Linked DNA regions of Mytilus edulis. The protein of the gene in region 1 purifies or fractionates together with the protein of each later gene. This does not show direct contact. Links are inferred from orthologs where the notes say so. Each region holds a gene or a part of one and is shown on either strand. Other genes may lie near its edges.

Region 1 (6,978 bases):
AAATGACAAATCGTCTCCCCGTTTAGTATTTTTTTAATAAATAAGTATTTTAAATATAATTTATATAAAATCAAGGAAAATTTACATGGCGATTATAATACTCTTTACCCTTTCGAGGTTATGAAAAACTATATGTTTTAATATTTTTAATTAAATCTTTATAAATTTATTTCAAAACCAGTATTTCTCGTGTTGCTTTAGTTAATGCAATCTTATATTTATCGTAGTTTTGTACCTTCTTCATATATCAACAAGGTATGAAACGAGATGATTTAAACGCTTACGCCTTATTGTGGTTGTGCAAGTTCTCAAATTCCATGCAAGACAGATTATCGGTTTTTATGTATACCACCACTTCTAAGACAAATCTTTAAAACATACACAGTGTTAAAAACATTTGTATGATATATTAATTTAACTATCAATAATGAACTTTTGACGAGGTAAAAATGAAGTTACATGTTGACCTGTTCAGCTTATATTGACTGGGGACAAAGTCCGAGGGTCAATAGATTCTATCCTTATATAACATAGCCAGTACGATACGAAAATGCAATTTACCACTTTTGTCGGTAAAAGATAGAAACTAAAAACTGAGTAGGTTGCAAAAATGTGTAAAACAGAATTACATAAATATTAAGTATTTTCCTAAAACTTATTTTCATATGGTAGATACTAACTACTAAATATATCAAGTATAAAACAGATTACAAAGTACTGATGAATATCTACTTAGTATGGGATGAGGCGACTTGAAATGTCTTTCATTATAACCGTTATGAGCTTTATCAAATACATATAGTGCTTTATCAAAACTATATTTTGTTATTGTGAAATGTATATTGTTAATAAAATGTCAAAGACGTAAACATTTTTTAAACCAAAATATATGACCAATACATCACATTTTAATTCTAAACTAATACTGCTGTTTCATCGAAATAACGATTATTTCATAATTTGACTGACTAAAAATATAATTTAAAAGAAGTAAAAACAAAAATGAGAAGAAACCAAAGGGATATCCAAAGTCGAAAACATACTAAACAACGCTGTGACAAACACATAATAAACAACGCTGTGACAAAAACATACTAAACAACGCTGTGACAAAAACATACTAAACAACGCTGTGACAAAAACATACTAAACAACGCTGTGACAAAAACATACTAAACAACGCTGTGACAAAAACATACTAAACAACGCTGTGACAAAAACATACTAAACAACGCTGTGACAAAAACATACTAAACAATGCTGTGACAAAAACATACTAAACAACGCTGTGACAAAAACATACTAAACAACGCTGTGACAAAAACATACTAAACAACGCTGTGACAAAAACATACTAAACAACGCTGTGACAAAAACATACTAAACAACGCTGTGACAAAAACATACTAAACAACGCTGTGACAAAAACGAAAAACAACCAATAGACAAACAACAGTAAAAAATACATCACTGGGCAACAAGAACCCAGCTAAACATCGAGATTGATCAGGTGCTCCGCAAAAATAAACAGATTCTGCATCACTAGTGGTACCAGTCTTATTGCTCGTGTAAGTACAAATCCGCGGCGATGAGTCGTCGAAGAAAAGAGAAAACAATCATTTTCATTAGTATTCGCAACACAATACACAAGAAACTGAAATCTCCACTCAAACTGAGAAACGATTTATAATCATTTATCAATTCCAACTCCTCTAAACGCGCTTCTTGCGTTGACACAGAAAATTATGATAACCCGTGTAGTAAGACAAAGTTCATGGTTATTTCTGCATTGTTTTTTAGAAGACATTATTTAGTGTCTGGTTCATTTTTCATTTTGACCAATGAAATGTGTTGAGAGTAACTATTATCTCAAATGAAAATGGAAATGTTAAGTCAGATCCAACTAAAACATATTTGTAAGTATCCAATACACTGCCATGCAACGTTTGGATTGCTTGTCATTTGCTTAACGTCTAGTTGCAAACATTAATGCATATCTATACAAAGGTATACATGAAGAGTATTATGGAGAATAATAAATACAACAGCGATACAAAGATATGCTTACTTGTTCAAGGTGTACAATGCATCTTTTAAAATGGAAGGCCCCTAAAATATGAGGGTTGGAGGATAAACATTGAAAATTAGTAAAATATGTAACCAAACAATTCACGATCTTTCCAGGGCATCCTCTCATACAATGATTGTTAATTGAGATAAGTATACAATAGAAACTCAATAAAGCGAATCCATGTACTAAATGTCATCGTACAGTCTTCAACAACGAGCAAAATTCATATCATAGTCCCCGACATGAAAAAAATAAAGAAAAAAATCAAAAAAATAAACCAACAGACTATGACCAAAACAATCAACAAAACACTAATATTACAGACAGCAAACAACGACAACCACTAAGTTTCAAATTCCTGACTTGTAATTGATTGAGTGATTGTTGCTGTTTTAGCTCCACTTTTTAGTGCCACGTTTGTTCTGTTTCGAGACTGTCAGTTTTATTGGTGGCGGAAGCTTCAGTGCTCGTAGAAAACCACCGAACTTCGATAGGAAAACTGACAGACAATCCTAGTCAATTAAGATTGAGGCCAAGTGCACCCGCATGAACGGTGTTCGAACTCACAACTTCAGTGTTGACTGGCTTGTGATTACAGTAGGTGAGCTACTTGGACCACTTGGCCACCGAGGCCCCTCCTGACTTGTGATAATCACCTATAAAATTGGCGGGCTTAAACATGTTTTTGAGCGTTCTACCTTGGATAGCGATGTAAATGCCACATAAGCACATAATTGAAAATTCAATTAAAGAAATGAGGTTATGTTAAATGTTAAAATTCACAACAAGCAGAAAGCACAATCATTAGCACAACACAAGGAATGTAGCCAATGAGCAGGTATAATAAACCAGTTAACATAGATTAATTAAAAATTAAATTAAAACTATATAGGAAAAAAAAAGAAAGCACGAACAGAATTCAGCTATGATACAGCATTTGGTATTTACAGACAGCAGAAACAATTTTGCCCACCATACCATCTAGAAATTAAAAGTTAATTTTCAAACAAGATGGACGAGGCTTCATTTTGCAGCCTATTCTTAAGTAGTGCTGCCTCATACCTGAAAGAATTCTTATGATACTTTGTAATTTCTATGTCTTGTCTCAGAAATTTCCCCCTATGCATCTTAATAATATATTGAGGTATATAGGAATTTTTTTTCTGAGACAAGTGCCTGTGCTTGTTATGTCTCTCATGGCGCACATCTAAAACAATTGAATTGCATGTTTATTTTATTTTTAAAATTTTATTTCAACCTCTTTTTTCTAAAAAATAAATATATAAATAAAAAAAAGACGATATAGATGTATAGCCTCTAAAGCTCTTTTTGATTTACCTAACAAAATATGAAAGCCAAAAACTACATAAACGACTATAAGGAACTACTGATATGTGTGATGAATTAATACCTGTCTATATATATGATATGAAGTTTCCTATGAATTTCACGGTTAAGTTTTGTTTTATGCCACAAGTATCATTTTATTTATACGACAAAAAAGAATTAATATTTAATGAAAATATGTATCTATTCAATGTATGCTATGAAATCAAAGTTTTCATGATATACTAATTCTTAAAGAAAAATATTTTCTCTTTTTATAATTTTTCTTATTAGCGAGTTTACAAATAAAAACTGAGTAGAAAAATTAGGGAAAATAAATGTCCTGTGTGTATACCTTGTCGGTCGCAGCTGGATAACTCAGACTAAAACAAGTAGTCCGAGTTTGTTATAGTCCGATATTGTGAGACCAAACTATATTTGGGCCGAGTTTGATATGTTCCGAGTTAAGTATGTATGGTCCGAGATGTCTAGAAGTCTTGTCGGTTACCTCCCTTGTGGCGCTTGGTTTAAAAACAAGTCACGTGATTTTTGACTGGGGGAAATTTGAAACAACAAACAACTGTAACTTGTAAAAAGCATATAACGAAGATCATTTTAAGTATCATTGAGCGATGCCACCACAGTAAGAGATATACCATTAAGGGGAATATGTTCAATGAAGTTGATTAACCTTTTTATGTGTAAAAAGTTCAATTTCAATGCAACACCATCGAAGTTCTTCATGTTATAATTTTCCGCTAGGAAATCATTTCTGTCGCAATTTACCCAGTTCAAAAGACCTTTATCATTGAAAAATAGGCAGCTCCGATATTTCGATTCCCGATTTTTCAAGACAACGGAGGCAGTGGATAAAACAGTTCTGGAGAGATGCAAAAAAAGGGGGGGGGGGTTTAAACAGTCAACACGAAATTAACTTTACAGGTGTAACTAGAGAGCATGAATTCCATTTACAAAATTGCTGGATTCCAACCCAGGACCTTTGTGTTACAAGGCAGCTCGTTAACTTACTGAGTTAAAGAAGTAATTCCTAAAGCTAAGCTCAAATTCTTACTACTGACTAACTTGCATTGAGACTAAAGTTCTAAGGGGGAGCAATCCTGTCAAACTTCCCCCCACCCCAAGAGTCAGTATACTCTTTAATGATGAGATCTTCATTTACATGTATATATATATGGGGGAAGTTTTACAGGATTGCTTCCCCTTAGAACTCTTAGAATTCTGAAGCTAGTCAATAGTAAGAATTTGAGCTTAGGAATTACTTCTTTAACTCAGTCAGTTAACGAGCTACCTTGTAACACAAAGCCAGGGAAATATATATTTATACAGTACCTGGCCAAAAGTATTCGTCGCCTGCATTTTTTTGCTATTTATTTCATACAAAAACACATTTTTTCAAAAAAACATTTCGAGGGCATTTATGGTTGGATTTTTATCAACAAGGCCTTAAAAGACGTGGAATCGTCTAAAGCATGTTTGTTTTTTTGATAATTGCTTAGTTTTCAGGTGTTTTTGCTTTCTCTTGATGTGAACACATACAAGATTTTTTTATTATTTAATTTGGTTGAATATATTGCGAAATTTCTGATCAGAAATTAATATTTGTGTTTATCTTGTGAAAAAATTAAAATGATCCACACAAAATATATAACCAAATAAACAAATAAACCTGTGACAATTCTGCTTCTATTGGTACCAAATTGTTTAAAATCAAACCAAAAATGACCCCAAACTATGTTTTTGAAAAAATTTAGTTTTATATACAATACATGTAACGTGACGGTACCCAAATTGCACCTATTTTGACAGTTTATTTAACTACGTTTTTTTATGATCAAGACAAAAATTTCCATTTTGTGTTTATTTTGTAGCCGTATCCTTCTTTATTATATAGGTACACCAATTTGATTTTCAATCCATATGAAATCATAGAAAAATTGGTCTGAACTAACCTCCAAACCATCAATGATTATGTATTGAGGAGTACCCAAATTGCATCCATGCTTACATTTGCATCGTCAAAAGTCAAATAACAGAGCTTTTGTTTAATTTTTTCAAATATTTTGAACAATTGGATATTTGTCCATGCTTACTCTTCATTTTTTAAGAAATGGGTACTTGAAACATATTATATTTGGTAATTTTAAAAAGATGACGTCGCATGGCGATGTTTCGGTACATTTTGCTTTTTCAGTAAACACTTCATCTGTCGATAAATACTGTGAACGTTTTGTGTATATCTAAATATGTTTACCGATGATGAAAGACGTGCATAGTATCAAATCATACAAATACAAATTGTTTAGTCTCTAGGAAATCTTGTAAGATTTCCGCTGCTATTTTTGCTAAATAGGTGCAATTTGGGTACTCGGTGCAATTTGGGTACCGTTACGTTATATATAGCGAAAAATCTCATGTGACGAATACTTATGGCCACACTCTGTATATACTGTATATATTTCCCTGGCTAGGTAATTCTGCCCATGACAAAAAAATGTACCATGTCAAGTTATTTTTTCAATTGGCCAAAAAAAATAAAAATTTTACCTTGTCAAAATAAAAAAAGATGTGTGTTTCCTATAACGGTTACCACCCTATTATATAAGCTCAAAAATAGACTACCCTAAAGTTTTTTTTTTGTCATTTTTCAATAAGCACTGTTAAAGTTAGAATGTCCCTCCCATAGACTAAATGTAAAGAAAAAAGGTTAAATTAAAAATAAAATCCCTTCCTACCTACCCTATTTGCATATTTTTTTTTGGCCCTACATAAAAATAGGAATTGGAAAAGTGCAAACAAACAATATTTTGATTTAAGCTGAACCATGCCAGAGAGCATGAATTTCATAACAAACTACTTGTTTCCATCAGGATTCGAAACCAAGGACCTTTGTGTTACAAGGCAGCCTGTTAACCAACTGAGCTAAAGAAGTACTTTCTTTAATAGCTCAACCGCTTACGGCTGACTACGTATCAACTACATTTTCTAAGGGAAGCAAAGCTACTGAACATTTGACTGGGCCCCTGGAGTGAAATTGTAAAACATGGAATTTATAATTTAGAAAAGACATCTTGCAGCTGGTATTTTGAGAAAAAAAAGAAACTTTAATAGTTGATTTACTGTAAATTGTTCTCTGAAATTATTTCCTATTTAAAAAAATGATTAATACTAGACTTACACTTATTGTAATATTAACAAATAATTATATTTTTCAGACGAGGAAAAACCCCCAGGAAGAATAAAAATGGATCTGGATCTCAGACAGAACCTGTTGAGGTGAGGACAAATCCTAATGATCACATTCATAAATATGAAAAAAGAATGTGTGTGTTTACGGGTCTTAGCCAAAATTTATGGATATACATGTATATGAAGAACAAAATTTATAATAAATTGCCATTGAATCTGGTCCTGATCAAGGCTTCCAAAACGGTCATATATTCCGGTCATTTGTATAATGTCCGGTAAAAGTCCGGCTGGGCAAAGCATGAAACGGTCATATACTTTTTAGTTTTCAAGGCTTTTTCGGTCATTTATACATAATTCACGATCTTTTTGACCCA
Region 2 (7,231 bases), about 28 Mb from region 1:
AGGGAAATATGCACATATGCTTTATTAAGGATAACCCTGATATAACTTTAAGGTACAACTACTTACAAAATGTTAAATTGATTCTAAAAGGCTGACAGGTCTTGTATTCAATTCTTATATGCTGTGGGTTAAAGGAGGGGTGCTATAGCCTATAGGTGATGTACAATATAAATTAGAAAAAATTTCCTGAACAGAGAAAATAGGACTTCTTGATCTGTTGATAAGGGTTTCAGCGAGCAGTCATATCCCAAAATGGCACCAGAGAGTTTCAGGAAAAATGTATAAATAATTTAAAATAAAAAGTAAAACTCATTTCAATGTTCACATGTACACAGAAATTCAATTCTAGATGGGTAAATGATTCAATAAGCTTCAAATGGAAACTGATCAAAATGTGATAACAATGATAATTAATGATTTGACAGCATGGCCAATCACCTTCTTTCTTTCTTTTCTTTCTTATGTATAAGCTTCCATCTTAGGAACACCCCTTACTGGGTAATCGGAAGTATTAACAAAAGTGGATAAATCAAAGATTTATTTTAAATTTTTAAAAGTTTATTAAAATATGGGTTAGATAAAAAAAGACGAAGGTAAAAATAACTGATAAAATAAAATAACGTAAAAAGGACCAGTAAACGTGCCCTGTACATATGGTGGAAAGGTTAACATGGTTAAGAGATAAAAATACCAATCAATTGGGGATGGAAAAATATGATCATTAATATTTTGTTGACTTTGCCACAGAAATAAGATAAATATATAGAATTCTTGTACATGTCTTACTGGTTTAGGGTATCAGGTTCGTTCGCGCCCAATACACTTTCGCACCCTACATGTTCGCACCACGCACGTTCGCACCCAAGGTCCGTTCGCACCCAATAGACCACTTTCGAGTTCATCCGTCACCGGCAAAAACTCGTCAATTATGCGCGCCTTTATGACGTCATTTACCAGATAGAGGGGATCGCCTGTATCCCTGCACAATTTACGTTCATCAAGCGTCTTAGTGATTGTCGTTGTGCAGGATAAACTAGAAATAATGGTTGTTCTGTAGGTACTTAATGACAATTCCCTAATGACAGCAGTGCTGTGCTGATTGTTAGTTTTGAGAATTTAATTTGCTGAATAATTCGTACAATATAGAATTATAGTTTTCCAACCACTCGCTCAACATTAAAACGGAAGTGATGACGCCCCTAAACGCACAAATGACGTTCACTAAAACCGGAGTTTTTGACGGAAATGCATCGAACTCGAAAGCTGTCTATTTAAAATCAAGTTCCAGTTGAATGATTAGAAAATCATGATTGTTGTTTTAAATTGCCATGATGTAAATATTGCATGTATTTAGCTTCGTATGAGTAAAACATTAAAAATTTTAAACGAAAAACACAAAAGATAATTGTTTTTTAACAGATTGGCCCCTTTGATCTAAAACAATTAAATAAAAAATTATAGCAATACACTAACCAAATTTGATTAATATTTAAGATTTATTTCACCCAAAAATCCTGGTCGTCATTTTTAACCATTACAATGATTTATTTGTTGGTACACACAATTTAGTTTTAATGGAAGACTACTAATCATATACTAAATGTCACATTTTCAAGTTTTATTTTAGAGGATAATTACTCATCAATTGAGGTGCTCCTGATTTGGAGGAAGATTCACAAAACAGAATTTTACAGAAAAAAATTTAAAAATCGTTCTTCCCAATCTCATGTATCTCCATGGACTTTGTTTACTTTGAAAGTTGTTGACCTACAAATTAAAGTATTGCATGTTGATGTTTGAATCATCTACAACAAACATAATTATGTTTAAATTTAACAAATAACAATTTATAATTAGTGCATGAACTCTGAGAATGATTTAAATAACCAGTGAAGGATATCCCTGCTTCTGCATAGTGTGGCATTCCAACAATGACGTCATTATAAAATATAATGTAGGTTGGATATATTTAGAAAATTTCTGATTTTTCCGGATTGTAAAAGAAACATAAATAGTGTAAAAGAGAGCTCAAAATACGATAATTTCGCTAGAAACAGAAGGGAAATGTGTAGAAAAGTGTTTAAAGTCAATCTATTCATTTGTGTGTTTCTTTCTCATCAATCTCAGTAAGATTTGTTGGGGGGTTTTCCACACTATAAAAACAAATTGAATGATGTGAGGGAATGTCACTCTGGTCAACCCCATAGGGGATTGACTGCTTGAAGGGTGCGAAAGTGAAAGGGCACGAACGTGAATGGGCGCGAACGGACCCAGATTCAGTAAATTAATAAACGTTCATTTAAATCACGAGTTCCTCAATTTCTTCATATCACACGAAATATGTCCATTAAGAGACTGTGGGTAACTGTTTCAAGTGTAAAGTTATTTTATATTTTATAAATATTGTAGTCTTTAGTCTAGGAAAATATGTGTAATACACAAGTATTTATTTTCAGTAAATATTCATTATATCAACAGAATCAATTATTTAGTACAGATCTGTCGTTACATTGTTTCTTTTAAGCATGATAACATCATTCAATCCCTGCCCTTCAATTACTAATTTAAGTGTAAATGGAAGTGTAATGTCATTTAGATGAACGAGAAAGTCACCGGTGTCATTTTATATTGGTCTCCACCTACCTCAATGTTTACAGGTGTTTTTTTCAGAGTAGAGGGCTCGTTTGACACTTAGAAGGGATCTAACTTGTTTACATTCACAAAATAGTATTTCGTTGTATTAATTGGACTTTGAACAACAACATATAACAGAAGAAAATTGTAATAATTTTCTGTCAAGTTCCATTTCTGTAAGCGGTATTATCACCCATGGCGGTGGTCAAAACTTCCGCAAAATGGCGTATAAAATAGTCCATAATTTCGGCCTTAATTTCTGTAAGTGCGAAAAGAAAGCGCTCTTATAATGCTACAGACACTTGCAAAATAATAGTCAAATACAAGATTATCGGAAACTGAGCCCAGAACCAAAGAAATCAAAATGCGGAATAATACACTATTTGAATCTGAACACGCAAATTCTCACGAGAGTTTGGGCGTGATGTGGAGCAGATGAAGTCATTGATCAATTTTACACATGAATGATTTTCGAGGAAGTCAAAGATTGTAATGCAATCACACTCTATTTAAACCCGATACTTCGTGCAGGTGGCACGGTAGTATTTCCTGGCCCATAAGGGATAATGATAGCCTTTTTAGAATTTTCACCACTTTCTAACACTGCAAAAAATTCTACATTGAGAGTTAACTGAAGTACTTTCATTTTACTATTCAGAAATGAATTTGAATATGTATCATGACCGTTTACAATTTTTGCTATTTTTAAAAACCTAAGGCCACTAGTACTTTTAGGTCTTTAATGGTGCAGTGAATAAAAAATTCTCAAAAATTCTCAAAAAATCATTTTTATCTGTATGTAAAATTATTTCATATTTTTCTACACCCGATTCATCCCTCAGTTTGGGAAAGTATGTTCAGTTGATACTGTCATGATTTTTTGTCCAATCACACTGTTTAGATAAAGACGGCAACCTAAATTCTGGAATGCAAATACTACCGTGCCACCTGCAAGACCCTCATGTGTAGTCAAGGTCGTTAAAAAAAACCCACCCTCATCGTTATATTTCCCCGTCTGTAACTTAAGTCTGTACAGGGACTTTCTATACTAAAGTATCAGAGAGCTTAAAATGTTGTTTTCGACAATCTTTGGAAAAGCAGGGACTTTCACCCTGGTTTAAGCCGGGGTCACAGAGTTTAGATCAATTTATACCCCCAGTTTAGGCAACGATTTGTAGATCATTGTGTTGTTAGACCCCGTTCACACTAGGACATTTTTATCAATTTAAACTAGACCGGTTCACTTAAGATCGGTTTAAGGGCTAATGTGAACACATTGAATCGATCTTCAATCGGTCTAAACTAAAACACCAAAAGAGGTAGTTTAGTTTGAATCGATCTTAAGTAAACCGATCTTATTTTAGATGTGAACGCAGAGATCGGTTTAAATTAGTACGATTGAATCGAAAATAACGTATGCGCATGTATAGCGGCAAAACTATCTCAGAGGTTCGTTGTTTAACTCATATTTCTCTGTTAAAAGACCTTTAAAACAAACTGTAAACATGTTGTCTTCGCCATAGCATAGATTTGCGAAATCTGTATCTTCTTTTCTTATGTTGAATTTTTTTTCTTTGCAGGAACCGCAGTATTTCAGGCATCGTGTTGTAGCTTCGTTGCTACAGTTATTTTTTTTTTCAAAATTAAAGAAAACTGCAATAACACTAGTATCAAAATTTTAAATTGTGATTCAATAGAAACAATAACTTTATCCAAATTTTTTTCTCCAAGTGTGTGTATCAGTGTATCAGCACATGAATTTGATAAATCAGTTCTATTTATACACATGGTTTACAGTTTTACGGGCAAAAAGGTTAGATCGATTGCGTTTTTAATTGTAGTGTGAACGCAGTGGTCCATATTAGACCGATAGAGATCGATATGATTAAAGATAATGTGAACGCTAACTGGTTTTATTTAGATCGATTCAAATTAGATCGATAAAAAAAATTGCTAGTGTGAACAGGGTCTAAGATCGTCTAAGTCTAGGCTTCACAGACTACCCTAATCCTCGGTTTAGGATAGATCTCCAACTTACGTGTAACGAATTACATATACTAGTATCAAATCATAGATACTAAGATAGTCTCGGGATAATCAAAGTGTGAATTTAAATCAGTTGGCTGAAAAATTTTGGAATAAACATATATATCGAATAAAGGTCTATTCGAATAATTCAAATATCAGTTAGTGACGTTAATAGGTCAATGTTTTGGGTTAAATCCGGGAAATAATATTCCGATTGTCCAGGTAATATCAAAGACAATATGTGTTTTAGAATAATAATAAATAAGCTTTATTTTGAGTCGGCAAGGTATACAACAGAGACAAACATAAGCTCTAATGAGAAGTTTTAACCGACAGAAAGAAAAAAAATATCGGATTTAAAAAAAATATAATATGAAAGTGTCTTTTAAAAATGCCAGTGCTTTCAGAAAACTTGAGAGGAAAATTGGGGTCACGGGACTCGTTTACTGAAGTTACCGAAAACCAATAGAAAAATTTAATATTATAAATTCCTGTTAAAATTGTTATATTCAGTTTCTAATTATCCCTTCCCCTTTTATGTTTAGTTTGAATAATACAAACATAAATAATATGAAGATAAAACACAAAGTTGTCATTATTTAGATGAGCAGTCTTAATTGCATGTACTGATTTTGTGTCATGGATGGATACGCCATATTCGTTGGTTTTTTTCTTGTTTGGTGGTGGTGGTGGTGGTGGTGGTGGTGGTGGTGGTGGTGGTGGTGGTTGGGGGGGGGGGGGGGGCTATATAACTGCTTGAAAAACAAGGTTCGCCTAACAAGGTATGGTATTATGCTATATATAAAATAGCGACTCGAACTTGCCATTGGTTGTCTTACCAATACTTATTTTTTATCTGTTCAGGTCATTCAAAATGATTTGACCGAAGCATGGTTTGCATTGATTTCACTTCAACATTGTTTCAGAATTATTCTTTACCTGCGAGTATAAAACATCAATTATAATCGACACTTCCAAATGTCCTGAAAGTTTCTCGATCTGGTTCCCTCTAAAAGAAGTTTTAAAAAAAAGGATATCTTAAAAAGTCTCAATCTGTAGTTAGCGCATGTCTATTCAACTGAAGAGATTTTGCTTTTGCTTTATTATTCCAAGAGTTCTGTGGCGATAATAAACCGACGCATTGTTTTCTTGAACTTTACTATATACTAGTAGTTGCATTGTTTATATGATTTTGCTATACATGATCCTAATTACAGAAACCTTTCATACTAGTATTACATCTCTAAATAAAGTTTATCGACAGGTTGTAGGTATCCCATGGGCACCAATTTCGCCCCTTTGATAGCAGACTTGTTCTTATACAGATATGAATCAAAGTTTGTTGTTAAACCAAGTGAAGAGCCGTCTAAATTACATTTAATTGATTAATTCAACAACAGATATATCGTTATCTTGATGATATTCTTTGTTAAATTCAAGAATTTTCGAAATGCAGTAACGGCGAATTTTACCCAAAGGAACTTACTTGAATTACATGTATATCAAATGTAAACGATTATAACTGTCATGCATTTCCTAGATTAAGATATTTCAGTTTTTCATAGGAAACTCAACACTAAAATTTCCGAGAAAAGAGACGATTTCCCCTATGTTATAAGATGATGTTACTTTGGTACCTCTGCTGTTAGGTTTTGGATTTCAATGTCAATGAACATAATCTTTGTAATACTGTAGTGGCGGATCCAAAAGGGAGTGGTTCTGGGGGTTGAATCCCTCCTTTTTTTTTTACGATCAATGCATTTGAATGGGGACATGTGGTTGGAACAACCCACTCTAACCTGCGTTTGGACCTCCCGTTTTAAAATGATCGGATCCGCACAATCATTAAGTCAGGAATTTCGTAACAACAAATTACTTTAAAAAATACTAAATTGTTCCATAGGTATAAAGATTTGGTTTGGAAGTTTGGTTGCACCTGCATGTAGAAAACTTATTTTTTAACGGAATAGCACATCCTTTTTTTACGGAGATGTTGTTTACCGATCTTGGAAGTTTGGATACGATCTGGGTAAACCTATTGATCCATTAAATAAACTTGTTCCAAAATGTAACCAATTCTACACCATTTTGAACATAAATCAGGCCGGCCTTTTAGTTTTCTCGTTTGAATTTTTAAATATATTAGTCATTTCGGGGCTTTTTAATTTATGGCACGGGTTTTACTCATTCAAGGCTGAAGGTCGTACGGTGGCATTTTAGCTGTTAATTTCTGTGTCATTTTGGTCTCTTTTTGAGAGTTGTCTCATTGGCAAGCATATCGCATCTTCTTATTTTTTATATTTAAACTACAGAAAAGAGAATAATGGAGTGCTTATGTATAACGAATATGGAGATTAATATTAAGATAAAGAATGCCTTCAAATTAAAGAATAAACAATGAAGACATGACCGACGCTTCTACAGTTAGCCAAACGAAGTCCCCCAAATATATAGCTTTAAGAAATCACTTTATATAAAAGAAGAAGAAGTTTTATTTCCATTAAATGAGCTCATAAGGAGAATTATACAATATCTAAAGACATTAATAAGACACTAACAAAAGCGTATA
Region 3 (7,595 bases), on another chromosome or scaffold:
GACTTGTTAAACTGTTTTCTTTGTAACTGGATTATGAATTTATTTATTTAATCTAAATCATCATAATCACTTGCTGAAACTTATTTGATTAATTCGACAAATGGATCGTCTATCCTCAGATAGTATTCTCCTGTCTAGTTTGTTGATCTACCTGTACAAGCTCAGGTACAAGTGATTAGCGATCTTAATCCGGATATCCCCCAGGCGTTAGAACTGTACTGGATTATAACATAAAAAGCCTAAGGTTATGCAAATACATGCATTTGATTATAATTGATAAAAAAAATGGCGTCGGGCTACAAAATACGATGAAGTTTTGAACGATGGCGGAGACAATTTAACGATGGCGCAAGGCAATTTAACGATGGAGCAAGTCATTTGACGATGGCGCAAGACATTTGAACGATGGCGGGGCGCCATCGTTAAACAGGCCATGGAGATCCCTGTTCTGTAATTGAGTGGTTGTCGTTTGTTGCAGTGTGTCTTTTGTTTTTCATTCATTTTTTTACATTAATTAAAGGTCGTTAGTTTTTATCATTTTACATTTATGATCTGCAGCAAGGGGGGAGGGGGGGGGGGGGGAGATAATAAAATAGAGAAATTATGGAAAATGGACTGAACAGGCACTTAAAATTAAATTGCCATAGCACTTGCATCGGTTGCACTCGGGAAATAAGACCTGTATGATTGACAAGAAGAGACACATCAACTACTGATGGTATACATGGGTAAGAGGTCAAACCTGGTCAAATTTTTCTATGCGTTTTATTAAAGACAATTTTTTTTTATCAAGTTTCAAAACAGTGTAATCACATTTTAGACCAGAAAAACGAAATTATTATATTTTAGAACACAAAATGTTTTTTCTTTTACAAGTGTTGAAAAATACAGAGAAAAAAATGAATACATTATAAATTTTAAAACGCCGTTTGGTGAAGAAATTGTTAGTGGTTGACATACATTAAATAATTGGGAAATAGCACAATTATCATGTCTCTGATTTTTTTCTTTTATATATAATACCTTTCTGCTTACATTTTTTTTTGCTTGATTTGCAATTAAATAGCGGATGGTTTAAACTGATTGTCTATTTCATTTTTGAAGTAAACAATATATATCCTTCTTAGAATTTTGTTAAGGGTGTGATTCGTACTATTAATATGGCTATATACAAATGTAACCCTCTGCAAGTCTGACCGTTTAGTTGTCAACATACTTTTTGTGTACTTTATTTTTATAACGTCTTTGATTTGGTATGAAACTAGTTGTGTGTATTTTCTATTACAGTGATTTATTATATGATCCTTGATTTCACAACGTTCAGTGGAAAATATTTGATGCATATTAGGGACTTATAAGAACAATGTAATCATACATCGATCACCTCGACATGAATTTTTAGCACGTATATAAACATTCCAAAAAATTATGTACAGGAAGATAACAAAACTACCGAACTTGTCCGAAGAATGACTTATAACTCCCCCGATTCACAATTTACCAGGGGCGGATTTAGGCGGGGGCGTGTTGGGCATGCGCCCCCCCCTAAAATTTGCAAAGCATGGGTTGTCCTCAGCTCAATAAAGTATCTGAACAGACAACGAATATTAATCTCGTCGCATTGCATCTGTTTTAACATTCAAAGAAGTATATAAAACAGTAAGTTTAACAGAATCAATGTGATTACTAATAAACTGACCTACGGTTTATTTATAAGTTCTATAAATATATTATACTTCATCGCGGTACTGCGTTTGGTGAAAAATATCATAGGCTTTTAGCAGTTCAAGTAAAACAATGTGACATGGTAGTTGCGGATTTTATAAACAATTGCTTTGATAAGTTCAAAAACAACCCTACCTCACTTTTCCACGAAGTAGTCGAAAGTGCCCTACCCGCGGTTGGGTTGGTTATTTCATTATGGCACGGTCCTGTTTAAATTCTTTCTTAATGAAAGATAGGAATGCTGGTTCAAGCGAAAGGTTCGTTTATTGATTCGTATCATTGTTTAATATCTCTGTATGATATCAATATACTAGTGTTTCTCACTTTCAACCTGTAAAGTTTACCTTGCCGAAGCATGCATAAACGGGGAACGCCCCCAACCCGTACTACCGTATTACATAGGATCCCACGAAAATAAACATATCTTCGCAAGGACCTCATTCTGATTTTACTTGTATGCGGTAGAAATGTATATAAAAAGTTTGACACGACCTCCGGAAATAGAAGAAAAGACAATTAAAAATCGCTGGCAAAAGTAGAAATTCTTGTTTTCAAAATCTTATATTGGTCGGTGAGCTATCATTGAGTCAATGAATAGAAGCTCGCAGATTTCTTGTTAATTATAGTGATTACAAATTGTCAGGGGTGGATTTATGCGGGTTTACCTTGAAACTTCAATTTCACGCTAATTTTACCACAAAATATTTATTTCTCGCCACGCTTGGCAAGATATCTAAATTGCATCCTCTCTAGAAGAATATTTCAATAATTTCGATAAAAAATTTAAGTTTGCGCCCCCACTAACCGAAAATCCTGGATCCGCCCCTGTTTACAAGATATCGATAGACGGCAATTGCCAATAAAGGCTAATTAAGGCTAATTAATACCAAGCGTGACATGTATTTAATAAGAGGGTGATAAAATTTCGGAAAATATCTGCTTTTGATGTGAGTCCAGTACTTTATCTATATGGCTTTTATATCTATGATTTGACATTGCTCACTATTGAAGATACAACATATTTTCTTTTCCGGTGAAAAGTGGTCACACAGACATTCATATCATATCTTTTTTTTATAAATCGAGTAAAGTGGCTAGTATTACAATATTTATATTTAGTTCTCGAGACTGGAAAACAAAAAGAGAAGAGTGGGTTGTGCTTTTTGTGGATCGTTGTGTCTGACAAGAGTGCAACCCTGATTTGTCTACGTCAATAACATCATTGGTACATTGAATATAATATGAGGCTTTTTAACTTAAGTTTTATAACAACGTGCCATCATCTAAGGGTACGTCGGGCTTTGTTTTACACTCCGACATTGTTTCCACACTTGAAAATGGCGCTGTTCAAACAAACCGCATTTTTGATTGGCTAATGAATTTGAAGACAATTTCCCATAGTTCAAAACAAAAACAGGAAGTAGCATGCTGTCAAGAAAAATGTCAACAAATACAAATCCGGTCCAATAATTTGGTCGTCTGAATTACATTCCTACTGGTAATTCGAAGATTTGGTAATTTCTGTTTAATTCCATTTCACCCAAGCCTAGCCGTTAATTTTTCTCTGATCCAAAATCCACGATGTACAGATAAATATGTGCAAAGCTGAAATCACTGAATCTCTGTTCTTTTATTTTATAGACCCAGCTATCAACTAGTGATCTTAACTACTCAATTAAAAAAAAATATTTATTAGGATATCATCTCTAAAATTACAACCATTTACTTGATCTATTAAAATCAATAATTTATGAGGGTATATCTGAGGGTAGTAATGCCCTTTAGGGTCAGGCGTCAAAAGGTCATTTTCGGCTACCGTAAGCATCAAATTGGTAAAATTTTTAACGTGATTCGTCAAAATATCCTTATCGTGATTTGTCAGAGGTCTCAAATAATTACCGTTACTGTTATTTTTTGAAATAATTTAACGAGATTAATCAAAGTCAGACTATTTTTATACAACCACAAAACGAAAATTTTTTGGTCATATATTGGTATCATGTTGGCGTCGGCGTCGAATACTTTTAGTTTTCGCACTCTTACTTTAGTATAAGTAAATAGAAATCTATGAAATTTTAACACAAGGTTTATGACCACAAAAGGAAGGTTGGGATTGATTTTGGGAGTTATGATCCCAACATTTTAGGAATTAGGGGCCAAAAAGGGCCCAAATAAGCATTTTCTTGGTTTTCGCACTAAAACTTTAGTTTGAGTAAATAGAAATCTATGAAATTTTGACACAAGGTTTATGACCACAAAAGGAAGGTTGGGATTGATTTTGGGAGTTTTGGTTCCTACAGTTTAGGAATTAGGGGCAAAAAAGGGCCCAAAAAAGCATTATTCTTACTTTTCGCACAATAACTTTAGTTTAAGTCAATAGAAATCAATGATATTTAAACACCACAAGGTTTATGACCACAAAAGGAAGGTTGGTAATTATTTTGGGAGTTGAGGTCCAAACAGTTTAGGAATAAGGGGCCAAAAAGGGGCCCAAATAAGCATTTTTCTTGGTTATCGCACCATAACTTTAGTATAAGTATATAGATATCTATGAAATTTAAACACAAGGTTAATGACCATAAAAGGAAGGTTGGGATTGGTTGTGGGAGTTTTGGTCCCAACAGTTTAGGAATAAGGGGTCCAAAGGGTCCAAAATTAAACTTTGTTTGATTTCATCAAAAAATGAATAATTGGGGTTCTTTGATATATATATACCGAATCTAACTGTGTATGTAGATTCTTAATTTTTGGTCCCGTTTTCAAATTGGTCTACATTATAAAGTCCTAAGGGTCCAAAATTAAACTTAGTTTGATTTTAACAAAAATTGAATTCTTGGGGTTTTTTTATATGCTGAATCTAAACATGTACTTAGATTTTTGATTATGGGCCCAGTTTTCAAGTTGGTCCAAATCAGAATCCAAAATTATTATATTAAGTATTGTGCAATAGCAAGAAATTTTCAATTTCACAGTACTGAGGCAATTATTGCACAGGATTGTGCAATAGCAAGAAATTTTCAATTTCACAGTATTGCGCAATAGCAAGAAATCTTCAATTGCACAGTATTGTGCATTAGCAAGTATTTTCAATTGCACAGTATTGCGCAATAGCAAGAAATATCTAATTGCACAGTATTGCGCAATAGCAAGAAATTTCAATTAGAGTTATCTTTCTTTGTCCAGAATAGTAGTTGAATCAACTTAAATCATTGTTTTATACAATATACAATGTATATTCACTTTTACTATCAACTGATAAATTAAAACAATCTTTACCATTCAGTGATAACAAGCACTTTTTTTTTAATATTTTATGATGTTAGTCTTCACGCCGAGTGGCAGCCTGGGCAGCCCAGGCTGGTGAAATTGCTCTTGGGCCTGTAAAAATCAGACCTACAGGCCAACAGAATCTAACTAAAAATTTCCGCTGTAGGTCGAGTAATTTGTAACAACAGCAAAGAAAAGTGCAATAAAGATATTATTTAAAAAAAAAAAAAAAAAAAAAAATTCTAAAATTGAGCTGCGGGCCTGTAGATGTAGCAGTTCAGCGTGAAGACTGTGATGTACTTAAATGAGTAGTTATTCTTGCAAACTCCATTAGAAATTTGAATTGAGATTGGTTTTGGAATAAAGGAAAGGGGGATGTGAACAAAAAAAATTGGGGGGGGGGGGGGGGGGGGGGGGGGCAAAGTGAATTGCTCAAAGGCAAAACAAAAATTTTAAGTTCATTAGACCACATTCATTCTGTGTCAGAAACCTATGCTGTGTCAACTATTTAATCACAATCTAATTTAGAGCTGAATCCAGCTTGAATGTTGTGTCCATACTTGGCCCAACCGTTCAGGTTTCAACCTCTGAGGTTGTATAAAGCTGCACCCTGGGGAGCATCTGGTTTATCCTCTAAACCAAGTGTACATTTTATTGTCACGCACTAAAAACTACAAATAACGTCATTTGGCAAGCATTTTTACCGTTTATCGTCATGAAAGTATCCCCATTACCACCCTCAAATGTATGACCTGTCAGGCTATTGACAAAATGTAGAAAAATAGCTAATGGAGAAGGTACAGCTTGATTACGTTAGATTAAATTATATCAATTCGTCAATCTTTTTTCAAGTTACGGTATTAGAATAATGTCATTAATGATTATCAAAATACATGTGAGCTTTTTCCATTACAGACAAATGTCATGATGAGCTCTTACAGCAAGATTGTGAGTGTATTAAATCTTGGAAAAATGGGATTCCTTGATGCTTATAAGGTACAGACCAAATTTGCACGACAGCATTTAGACAGTATGGCAGGAGTACACGGTTCAAATGGAGAAAATGTTGTATTACTTGTAGAGCATAACCCAGTTTATACCATTGGAATTAGATCTAAAGACTATTCGGAAGAATACGAACAAAAACTTAAAAAGCTAGGTGCTGAATTTTGCCGAACAGATAGAGGTGGTTTAATTACCTATCATGGACCAGGACAACTTGTTGCTTATCCAATTTTAAATCTAAAATATTTTACACCAAATATGAAGTGGTATATTTGTTCCATGGAAAAGACAATGATTGGAACTTGTAAATATTATGGTCTAAATGCCCATACAACAGAAGATACAGGAGTATGGATTGGAGATAGGAAAATTGGAGCTATTGGTAAGTCTGAAAGGTCTTTTTTACCATCAATATTAGCTATTCATCAAGATACACTATCATGGCTAATGTTAAGCAAAAATAAAAGTTTTACTTTTGGTTTTATAACCATTATTGATCATTATTTGTGAAAGACATTCATTTTGATGTTTTGCACAGTTGAAAATTACTAAAAATTGATGCAGGAATGAATGATCAAACACTTTATTTGTTTTGTATACTTTTGATTAAAAAATTTTTTTTTATCATGTTTACAGAAGTTAAAATTTCATGAATATATTTATTTTTGAGCTACAATTTATGTTTCATAACGTCATACGAATTTCTCAATTAGTACCGGTACTCTACAAATATGCATTTAATTTGCCACTGGACATTAAACAACAATCCATCCATTATTAATGAATTGTACCAGTTTTTTGTGAGTTTACTAGTCTGTGTGATTTTCTTTTGTGTATTAATGAGTGCTAGAAACAATTCGTAAATTTTGTAGCATTAAACTCAATGCTCAAATATAATTTGTTTATATTTTATCAATTATTATTATATTGTAGGTGTTCATGGTCGCAGATATGTAACAACTCATGGTGTATCTTTGAACTGTAATACTGATTTGAACTGGTTCAAACATATAGTACCTTGTGGATTAAAAGGAAAAGATGTGACGTCTCTTAGTAAAGAAAAGGGCTGTGATATTAATATAAATGATGCTGTAAAACCATTTTTAGAAAATTTTCAAAGACAATTTGATTGTCAATTAAAGTATATAGATAAAGAAACAGAGGAATATTAACACAAAATAAGTATATAATTATAATATAACAATGAATCATGTTTTAATTTATATAAAAAATATATTTTATTTATTTCCACATTTTTATAGATCCAACATTATGACTAAGAAAATAAATTGTTTATAAAAAAAATATTTGCCAAATTGATCTATTGGAAAGAAGTTATAAAATTGTGAATATGAATTTAATTAGAGATTCTATGTTTTGAAAATAATTTGATGTGAAGATATGAACAGGAGATATGTGTCAATAGAACAACAAACCAACAACACAATAAACAAAATGATATTGACCCATTTAATGTGATTGTGTCTTCAGGTGAGGACTCTTTGATGGTGCTGTAGAAAAGAATCTTCCTTCACTTCTCTGGGTAAAAATTACATGAAAAGTGCACAGGCTGTTATGTCTTGTCTGTTTAAACAACC

What was found.
Region 2: the proteins of kinesin-like protein KIF23 (region 1) and ADP-ribosylation factor 6 purify together in Homo sapiens (affinity purification with western blotting; 3 studies listed by BioGRID and IntAct, with this or other methods). This does not show direct contact. The link is inferred for Mytilus edulis from reciprocal best matches to the Homo sapiens genes KIF23 and ARF6.
Region 3: the proteins of kinesin-like protein KIF23 (region 1) and protein ECT2-like purify together in Homo sapiens (co-immunoprecipitation; 3 studies listed by BioGRID and IntAct, with this or other methods). This does not show direct contact. The link is inferred for Mytilus edulis from reciprocal best matches to the Homo sapiens genes KIF23 and ECT2.

The regions. Positions count from the first base shown.
Region 1 is NC_092350.1:35,585,894-35,592,871, forward strand, and holds the start of kinesin-like protein KIF23, read left to right. Parts: upstream 1-3,904; 5' UTR 3,905-4,029; coding exon 4,030-4,040; intron 4,041-6,630; coding exon 6,631-6,691; intron 6,692-6,978.
Region 2 is NC_092350.1:7,208,220-7,215,450, forward strand, and holds the start of ADP-ribosylation factor 6, read right to left. Parts: upstream 3,044-7,231; 5' UTR 2,644-3,043; intron 1-2,643. UniProt on the Homo sapiens protein: GTP-binding protein involved in protein trafficking that regulates endocytic recycling and cytoskeleton remodeling. GTP-bound form plays an important role in the transport of multiple palmitoylated proteins form the Golgi to the plasma membrane.
Region 3 is NC_092346.1:78,100,868-78,108,462, reverse strand, and holds the start of protein ECT2-like, read right to left. Parts: upstream 3,100-7,595; 5' UTR 3,046-3,099; coding exon 3,003-3,045; intron 1-3,002. Other genes in the region: octanoyl-[acyl-carrier-protein]:protein N-octanoyltransferase LIPT2, mitochondrial-like, read left to right, coding at 5,781-5,789, 5,908-6,379, 6,931-7,169. UniProt on the Homo sapiens protein: Guanine nucleotide exchange factor (GEF) that catalyzes the exchange of GDP for GTP. Promotes guanine nucleotide exchange on the Rho family members of small GTPases, like RHOA, RHOC, RAC1 and CDC42.